Linked DNA regions of Saccharomyces cerevisiae S288C. Changing the gene in region 1 together with any one later gene gives a genetic interaction. Each region holds a gene or a part of one and is shown in the gene's direction. Other genes may lie near its edges.

Evidence for each region.
Region 2: mutations in MCH1 (region 1) and IOC4 together harm fitness more than expected from each alone (negative genetic interaction), as found in Saccharomyces cerevisiae (2 studies listed by BioGRID).

What each region holds. Positions count from the first base shown.
Region 1 is NC_001136.10:359,240-363,438, reverse strand, and holds MCH1 (Mch1p), read left to right. Parts: upstream 1-2,153; coding exon 2,154-3,614; downstream 3,615-4,199. Other genes in the region: 1-acylglycerol-3-phosphate O-acyltransferase SLC1, read left to right, coding at 1-767; PBP4 (Pbp4p), read left to right, coding at 1,183-1,740. UniProt on the Saccharomyces cerevisiae protein: Probable transporter. Does not act in the transport of monocarboxylic acids across the plasma membrane.
Region 2 is NC_001145.3:353,546-357,641, forward strand, and holds IOC4 (Ioc4p), read left to right. Parts: upstream 1-1,838; coding exon 1,839-3,266; downstream 3,267-4,096. Other genes in the region: transcription factor MCM1, read left to right, coding at 326-1,186. UniProt on the Saccharomyces cerevisiae protein: Functions as a component of the ISW1B complex, which acts in remodeling the chromatin by catalyzing an ATP-dependent alteration in the structure of nucleosomal DNA.

The sequences.
Region 1 (4,199 bases):
GTTGTTTTTACCATGTCATGAAATTGATGCTTGGCCTTGACGTCAAGGTCGTTGGCGAGGAGAATTTGGCCAAGAAGCCATATATTATGATTGCCAATCACCAATCCACCTTGGATATCTTCATGTTAGGTAGGATTTTCCCCCCTGGTTGCACAGTTACTGCCAAGAAGTCTTTGAAATACGTCCCCTTTCTGGGTTGGTTCATGGCTTTGAGTGGTACATATTTCTTAGACAGATCTAAAAGGCAAGAAGCCATTGACACCTTGAATAAAGGTTTAGAAAATGTTAAGAAAAACAAGCGTGCTCTATGGGTTTTTCCTGAGGGTACCAGGTCTTACACGAGTGAGCTGACAATGTTGCCTTTCAAGAAGGGTGCTTTCCATTTGGCACAACAGGGTAAGATCCCCATTGTTCCAGTGGTTGTTTCCAATACCAGTACTTTAGTAAGTCCTAAATATGGGGTCTTCAACAGAGGCTGTATGATTGTTAGAATTTTAAAACCTATTTCAACCGAGAACTTAACAAAGGACAAAATTGGTGAATTTGCTGAAAAAGTTAGAGATCAAATGGTTGACACTTTGAAGGAGATTGGCTACTCTCCCGCCATCAACGATACAACCCTCCCACCACAAGCTATTGAGTATGCCGCTCTTCAACATGACAAGAAAGTGAACAAGAAAATCAAGAATGAGCCTGTGCCTTCTGTCAGCATTAGCAACGATGTCAATACCCATAACGAAGGTTCATCTGTAAAAAAGATGCATTAAGCCACCACCACATTTTTAGAGTAGTATATAGACCCAAAAACTGTAATTATCTTTTTAAAAAAGTAAAATGACTTACGAATGATTCTGATGATTTTATTTATTACGACTCATATACCCAGCGTAAGAAGTGATCAATAGACCGCTACTTTATTCGGAGAAAGAGAAAAGAACTTTCCATTGTAATGTATATATAACACCAGGCATGTGTCAAAAATGTGAGACTAAATAGAAAGAAAAATACGAGGAACAACAAATAATACGATCTTGTGCATATTTTTTCCCTTTTTTTTTTTAATTCTTTTTTTCTGAAATTTTTCATTTGTTCACTGTTTAATATCTATCCATTTTTGTTTCCGAATTTTCATTAACTTTATTACTTATTTACGATACAATTTTCCCTTTAATCTAGTACGAAATGACAACAACCTCAACAACCAGTGTAGATGGCAGAACCTCCTCGACTTTGAAGGCTACTTTATCTGCTTCAGGTCCAAATTCAAATGGTCCAACGCCCGCTGTGCTTCCTCAGAAGCCAAAATTAACAGGTTGGGCGCAGGCAGCTGCCAAAGCCCTTCCAAGGCAACAGCAACAGCAACAGCAGGCACGAAAAGATGATTCCGTGGCTGTACAACCTGCTAATACGAAGACTAAAACCATCGCATCTACCGCGCCGCCTGCTAATATAAAGGGTAGTTCCACCGCCAATGGATCATCCACAAATAAGAAATTTAAAAGAGCGAATAAACAACCTTACAATAGAGAAGAAGTTAGATCGTATATGCACAAATTATTTCAGAGCTATACCGCTGGTGAAAAAAGTCATTCAATGAAAACTTATAAGCAAGTACTATCAGAAACGGCAAGTGGCAGAGTTTCAACAGCCACTGACTGGGGTACTGTATCAAGCAGTAAAAATAAGAATAAAAAATACGGCTGTTTGTCCGATATTGCTAAAGTTTTAAGAAACCAATGAGAATATCGAAGCATCACGTTTCATAACGCAAAAAGGAGTCAAACAAAAAATGAAGTATGAAGTCAAGAAAACGAAGAAAAGAGGAAAATAGAAGAAATGAAAATATTATTTTACAAGCGTAAATAAAAATTTTATAATTCATAATGTCGAAAAATGTATACTGTGTTAAGACGCCTTTCTTTGCTTTTTCTCTTAGTCTTTATTGCATAGTTCACTTAGCCTTTCCGATGCTAGCGGCTTTTCGCATCGTTCGGAAATTAGTACCTTTCTTTTTGCCCTACAAGAAAAACTATTATACAGTGTAAATACAAGATAACAGAGACCGCTACTCAGACAGCAACTTCTAACGTTTCATCGAGACTAGTTTCCTTTCATATCATTTTATAGCAATAACCATTTTCCAAGTGCAAATCATGCCTCTATCAAAGGTGGAGCACTACCTTTCATACCATACGCGCTTACTCTTACCCCATGTTTTGTCTCTTCAGTCATCACATCGTGTTGCATACATCTTTTCGCTATTATCTGCGGTGTCAACTGGCTTCATTACTTTGATATCTCTTTACTCTCAACCGTGGCAGAAACATTTAAATTATTCCTCATGGCAAATCAACACCATCGCTAGTATGACTAATTTGGGGATGTACTTGACGCCACCAATCTTGGGGATGATCGCTGATTCTCATGGCCCCATTACTTTAAGTCTTTTAGCCATCATAGGGTTCATACCTAGCTATTCATATCTGGCTTACGTTTTTAATCATCCGGAGTTATCTCTCGGAGGAAATGGTGACTCATCATTCAATCTATCCATCATTTGTTTCGTTTTCATAGGTATATCAACAAGCGCTTTATACTTTAGCGCTTTACTGACATGCACTAAGCTATATCCTCATACAAAACTACTATCCATTAGCTTACCAACGACATGTTATGGTATTTCTTCTGTAGTCGGTTCTCAACTGCTAAGAATCAAATGGTTCTGGTCCTCTAACGCAAGTTCTTCCTCGTCCAATAGTGACTTAAACCTGGGAAGAGTATTCCAAACATTTGCCCTCGTTTATGTCGTTATTGGGCTACTTGCATGGATAGCCACCAGCGTGGTATCACTTTTGCATTTTAATGAAGAGCAAGACAACCAAAAACGGCTGGATGATCAAACTGATGTGGAACAATCACCGCTGTTAGAACGAAGTAATCATGTTCAAGAAAAGTTTACGCAGACGATGCTAAGGATCTTTAGTGATCCTGTGACATATATCCTAGCGGTATCAATTTTGTTATCACTTGGGCCCCTCGAGATGTTTATTGCCAATATGGGATCACTGACTAACCTGCTAGTCCAATTAGATGCGCCAACCTTATCTACAAAGTTGTTATCCACATACGCGCTATCTTCCACTTTTACGAGATTGCTCACAGGCATAGTGGCAGACTTCTTCGCCAAGAAAAAAATATCAATTAAATGGATCCTGTTGACTTTCCTTTCATTAGGGGTATGTGCACAACTGTTTTTATTGAAAATGACCTCTTCAGCGTCACCCTGGGGGCTAGTACCTACAGGATCATTGGTTGGAATTGTATACGGTGGACTTTTCACTGTTTATCCGACGCTGGTCCTGTTAGTATGGGGCGAACGCTCATTCGGGACTGTTTACGGTAGCTTACTAATTGCACCTGCTATAGGTTCTATGATATTTTGCATGTTGTATGCCAAATTTTACGATTCTCGCTGTATGAGTGGCGGAGGAGATCTGCGAAATCCGTCCTGTATTTCGGCTGTCTACAAGTACAGCAGTATCGCATTCGTTGTATCCGCTGTTCTTTCAGCTGTAGTATTTTGGAAATTAAAAAGTAGAAAACTCAGAATTTAAACAAAAAAGAAACTGCTACATTTATTTTTTTTAAAATTCATAGCTTATATAAATGACACCAATAAATTGCACTTATTTCTTTTATGCTATGCTATTGTTTTTGATACCCTTTTAAAGGTACCGGTTAAAAATTGAGAGAAAAAAAGAAAGAACTCCTCATAGGGGGCTCGAACCCCTGACATTTCGGTATCCTTGCTTAAGCAAATGCGCTTAAAAGCCGAACGCTCTACCAACTGAGCTAACAAGGATGAGTTCTTCGGAGAATCCTGGACATAAATTTGTCCATGTTATTTTAAAGTTTTATCAGATTTGCACTGGTCTTTACCGTTCCAACACTTTGTACATGTTGATAATAAGAATAAAATATCATCCATCGACTGCTATTCTTCATATCAATTGTACATTATCATATATGATGTAAGGTGATTGGGAAACAGTCATCAGATCTTATGGAAAATAAAATGTGAAGATTCATAATATGATAGGGTAATGAATGGCAACATATAAACGAATAAGAAAATCCGCTTCTAAAAAGAACGGAATTCACCAAGTATCCCAACATTGACCCATTTCTTATGCTTACAT
Region 2 (4,096 bases), on another chromosome or scaffold:
GTATTATACATACTATATCATCGCATACCCAATCGGTTTCCTATTCTCACCACTTTTTTCTGGAAAAATACATAGCCTAACAAGCAATTTTATTTTACGTTTGTTAATTCATTATACTGATAATATTTTTGAATTTTTTTTTTTTTTGATACATTTTTTTTAATCGCTGTTTTGTCTGTTTTTTTCGATTCAGTTATAGGGAAAAAAACGGGAAAGGAAAGAGAAAAAAAAATTAGTGCAGAGCAATAAGAAGCGAAAATCAAAAAAAAGTTTTGGATCTGCAAGACTTGCTGTCACGCAACAATATTATAGCCACCCAGCAAAAATGTCAGACATCGAAGAAGGTACGCCTACTAATAATGGGCAACAGAAGGAGAGAAGAAAGATAGAAATTAAGTTCATCGAGAATAAAACAAGGCGCCATGTGACATTTTCCAAAAGGAAGCACGGTATCATGAAAAAGGCGTTTGAGCTTTCTGTTCTAACGGGGACCCAGGTCCTGTTGCTAGTCGTTTCAGAAACAGGTTTGGTATATACTTTCAGCACGCCGAAGTTTGAACCTATAGTCACGCAGCAGGAAGGTAGAAACCTGATCCAGGCCTGTCTTAACGCCCCTGATGATGAGGAAGAAGACGAGGAGGAAGACGGTGATGATGATGATGATGATGACGATGATGGTAATGATATGCAACGCCAGCAACCACAACAACAGCAACCGCAACAACAGCAACAAGTATTGAATGCACACGCAAATAGCTTAGGCCATCTAAATCAAGATCAGGTACCGGCAGGCGCGCTGAAACAAGAGGTGAAGTCACAATTGCTAGGCGGTGCCAATCCTAATCAAAACTCAATGATTCAACAGCAGCAACATCACACGCAGAATTCACAACCACAACAGCAACAGCAACAACAACCACAGCAGCAAATGTCACAGCAACAAATGTCACAGCATCCTCGACCACAGCAAGGAATACCACATCCGCAACAATCGCAGCCACAGCAACAGCAACAACAACAACAACAACTGCAACAGCAGCAACAGCAGCAACAACAACAACCCCTCACCGGCATTCATCAGCCTCACCAACAGGCTTTTGCCAACGCTGCCTCCCCCTATCTGAATGCTGAACAGAATGCTGCCTACCAACAATACTTTCAAGAACCGCAACAAGGCCAATACTAATCTTATCGATTTCCGTATATAATTCATAGACGAGCATTAAGAGGAAAAAGCTGTTTCCGTACCAATTAAAGAAAGATAGACAACAAGAACAAAAACGTACATTACTCTATATTGAAAAAAGCCCTATGTCGGTAAAAGAATAGGAAGTACCTTAGTCATCGGCACTTACCTTTTTTTTTACGATTACTTCTGGTTTGTTTCTTTGCCTCATTTCATTTTGCTGCCACTTTCTTTCATAGGCAAGAAGATTCAATCAAATCTCCCCTTCTCCTTCCCCGGATATATAAAATATAAATATAAAACTTTAAGAATATAAAAATATGAGAAACCACACATAACTTGTATACTTTACTCACATACACACATTTCCAAAAAAATTATAATGTTAATTACATTGCTTTTAATGCTAATCTTTTTTTAGTTGTATAATCATTACCATATAAATGCCTCTCGGTCTAATTTCATTGCCAGTATTGTAAGTTATATACTTTTATACGAGTGTACGGAAAATATCGTGGCTCCCCGTTAACAGTGAAATAAATCTACGCATGTAGCTGCCAGTTTTTTAAGCGTTATATCAATATTGGTAAAGTAAGAATTGACGAAGAAATTGTTAACTACATTTTTCAGAACGGCGTGTCATTCTCCGATAATGTCTGAAGCGATATTCCAGCCAACGGACATTGTCCTTGCCAAAGTTAAAGGCTTTTCAGCATGGCCAGCAATGATTATCCCTAATGAACTCATCCCAGATAACATCCTCAAGACCAAACCTGTGAGTGTCCACAAAGGCAAATCAGGTAGTGATAAAAAAGCAAATGAAGATATAGATGCAGACATGGAATCAGAGGCTAGAGATCGAGAGCAAAGCGAAGAAGAAGAAGATATAGAGGATTTTGGTGAGAGTGAGGCTAATCCTGAAAAATTTATAATATACACTCCCGTTCTGAAGTTTCGTAAAAATGATACGTTGAAATCGACTTACTGCGTCAAGTTTTTTTGCGATGATTCTTATATCTGGGTGAAGCCCATGGATATGAAGATTCTAACAAGCGAAGATTGTCGTAAGTGGCTAAGCGGCAAACAGCGGAAGAATAAGAAACTCATACCGGCATATGAAATGGCTATGAGAGGCAAAAATGGAATTGATATTTGGGAATTTGTGGAATATGGGTCTTACGGCAAGCCAGATGAAGAGGAATATGTAGAGGAAGAGGAAGAAGAGAACGAACCTGAAAAAAAGGCTATAAGGCCAACCAGGTCTTCCAGTAGACAGCGTCAGAAGCGCGCCTCAGAAACGGAAAAGAGTGAGGGCGGTAATAGCAATAAAAGGAAAAGAGTTACTAGATCGACTAGGCAACAAGCGATAGATGCTTCAGAAGAGGAAGAGGAGGAAGAGGAGGAAAAAGTACAAGAGGCTGTTAGAAAGAGGCCGCAAAGGACCAAAACTAAGAAAGTTGTAGTATCCAAGACTAAACCAAATCCAAAAACAAAGGCAAAGAAAGAGAAACCTAAACCACCTAAGCCAATCAAATATCATTTTGAAGATGATGAAGATTGGAGCATTGTTGGGTTGGGCCCACAAGATCTATCAATCGAAAAAACGATGGATCCGATTGCGAAAAAACTGTCGCAGAAGAAAAATCTAGAAAAGCATGTGGAGATTAAGCTAGATCTGGAGGATAAACTAGCAGGTATCAACAAGCTCCTGTGTGATGTCTTATGTTCAGCCATTAACCAGGCTGTTTCGATAAAGGATGATTTCGAAATAATATTAGATGAATTGCAGATTGCCCTTGACACCAGGGGGTCCAGAAACGAATTTATAACAATTTTCCAATCAAATAATTCCCTACTGTTAAACTTTAGGATATTATTTAACTTAAGAAAAAGGGAACTGAACAAATGGGATCTGTGGGATCGTTTCCAGGATATTTTCAAGCATATTTATTCCTACCAGTTCATACCTGATACGGAAGATTGGCAACTAGAGCAAAATATGGAAATTGAAGAAATGGATCGGGAAAAGCCGAGCTTTAGTGAAGACGTAAAGGAAGAAGAAAGCAAAGTAGGAGCATGACCTGTTGCTATTGCAGTTGATGTACTCTGCTTTTGAACAATAGAGGGGAAACCTGTGTACTATAAAATAGACTAAAACTATGTAACTTGTGTATGTTCTGATATGTATGACGCAGTCTTTGATAGTCCAAAACTCACCTAGACTGTGCTGTATTATTACAATTAAAGTTCTAAGTCTGTTGTGCATTATCATTTGAGAAATGGGGGAATGTTGAGATAATTGTTGGGATTCCATTGTTGATAAAGGCTATAATATTAGGTATACAGAATATACTAGAAGTTCTCCTCAAGGATATAGGAATCCTCAAAATGGAATCTATATTTCTACATACTAATATTACGATTATTCCTCATTCCGTTTTATATGTTTCATTATCCTATTACATTATCAATCCTTGCACTTCAGCTTCCTCTAACTTCGATGACAGCTTCTCATAACTTATGTCATCATCTTAACACCGTATATGATAATATATTGATAATATAACTATTAGTTGATAGACGATAGTGGATTTTTATTCCAACATACCACCCATAATGTAATAGATCTAATGAATCCATTTGTTTGTTAATAGTTTGAATGTTTTTATCGGAAGAGGTTTGGTCATTACGTCTGCAATATTCTTTTTGGTTTCGATATAGCATACGTGCAGATGATTTCCTGATACTTCATCTCTCAGTCTCATTGCTTTAGTACCAAAAAATCTGTTTCTAAATTTCTCTTCATTATTGGATATAATTATACTGATTGTAGATTTACTGTCGGTTAGTAATCCTTTGGTAATTGGTTTCTTGTCGAGTTCTTGTATCAGGTAACTTAGATTATTTAAT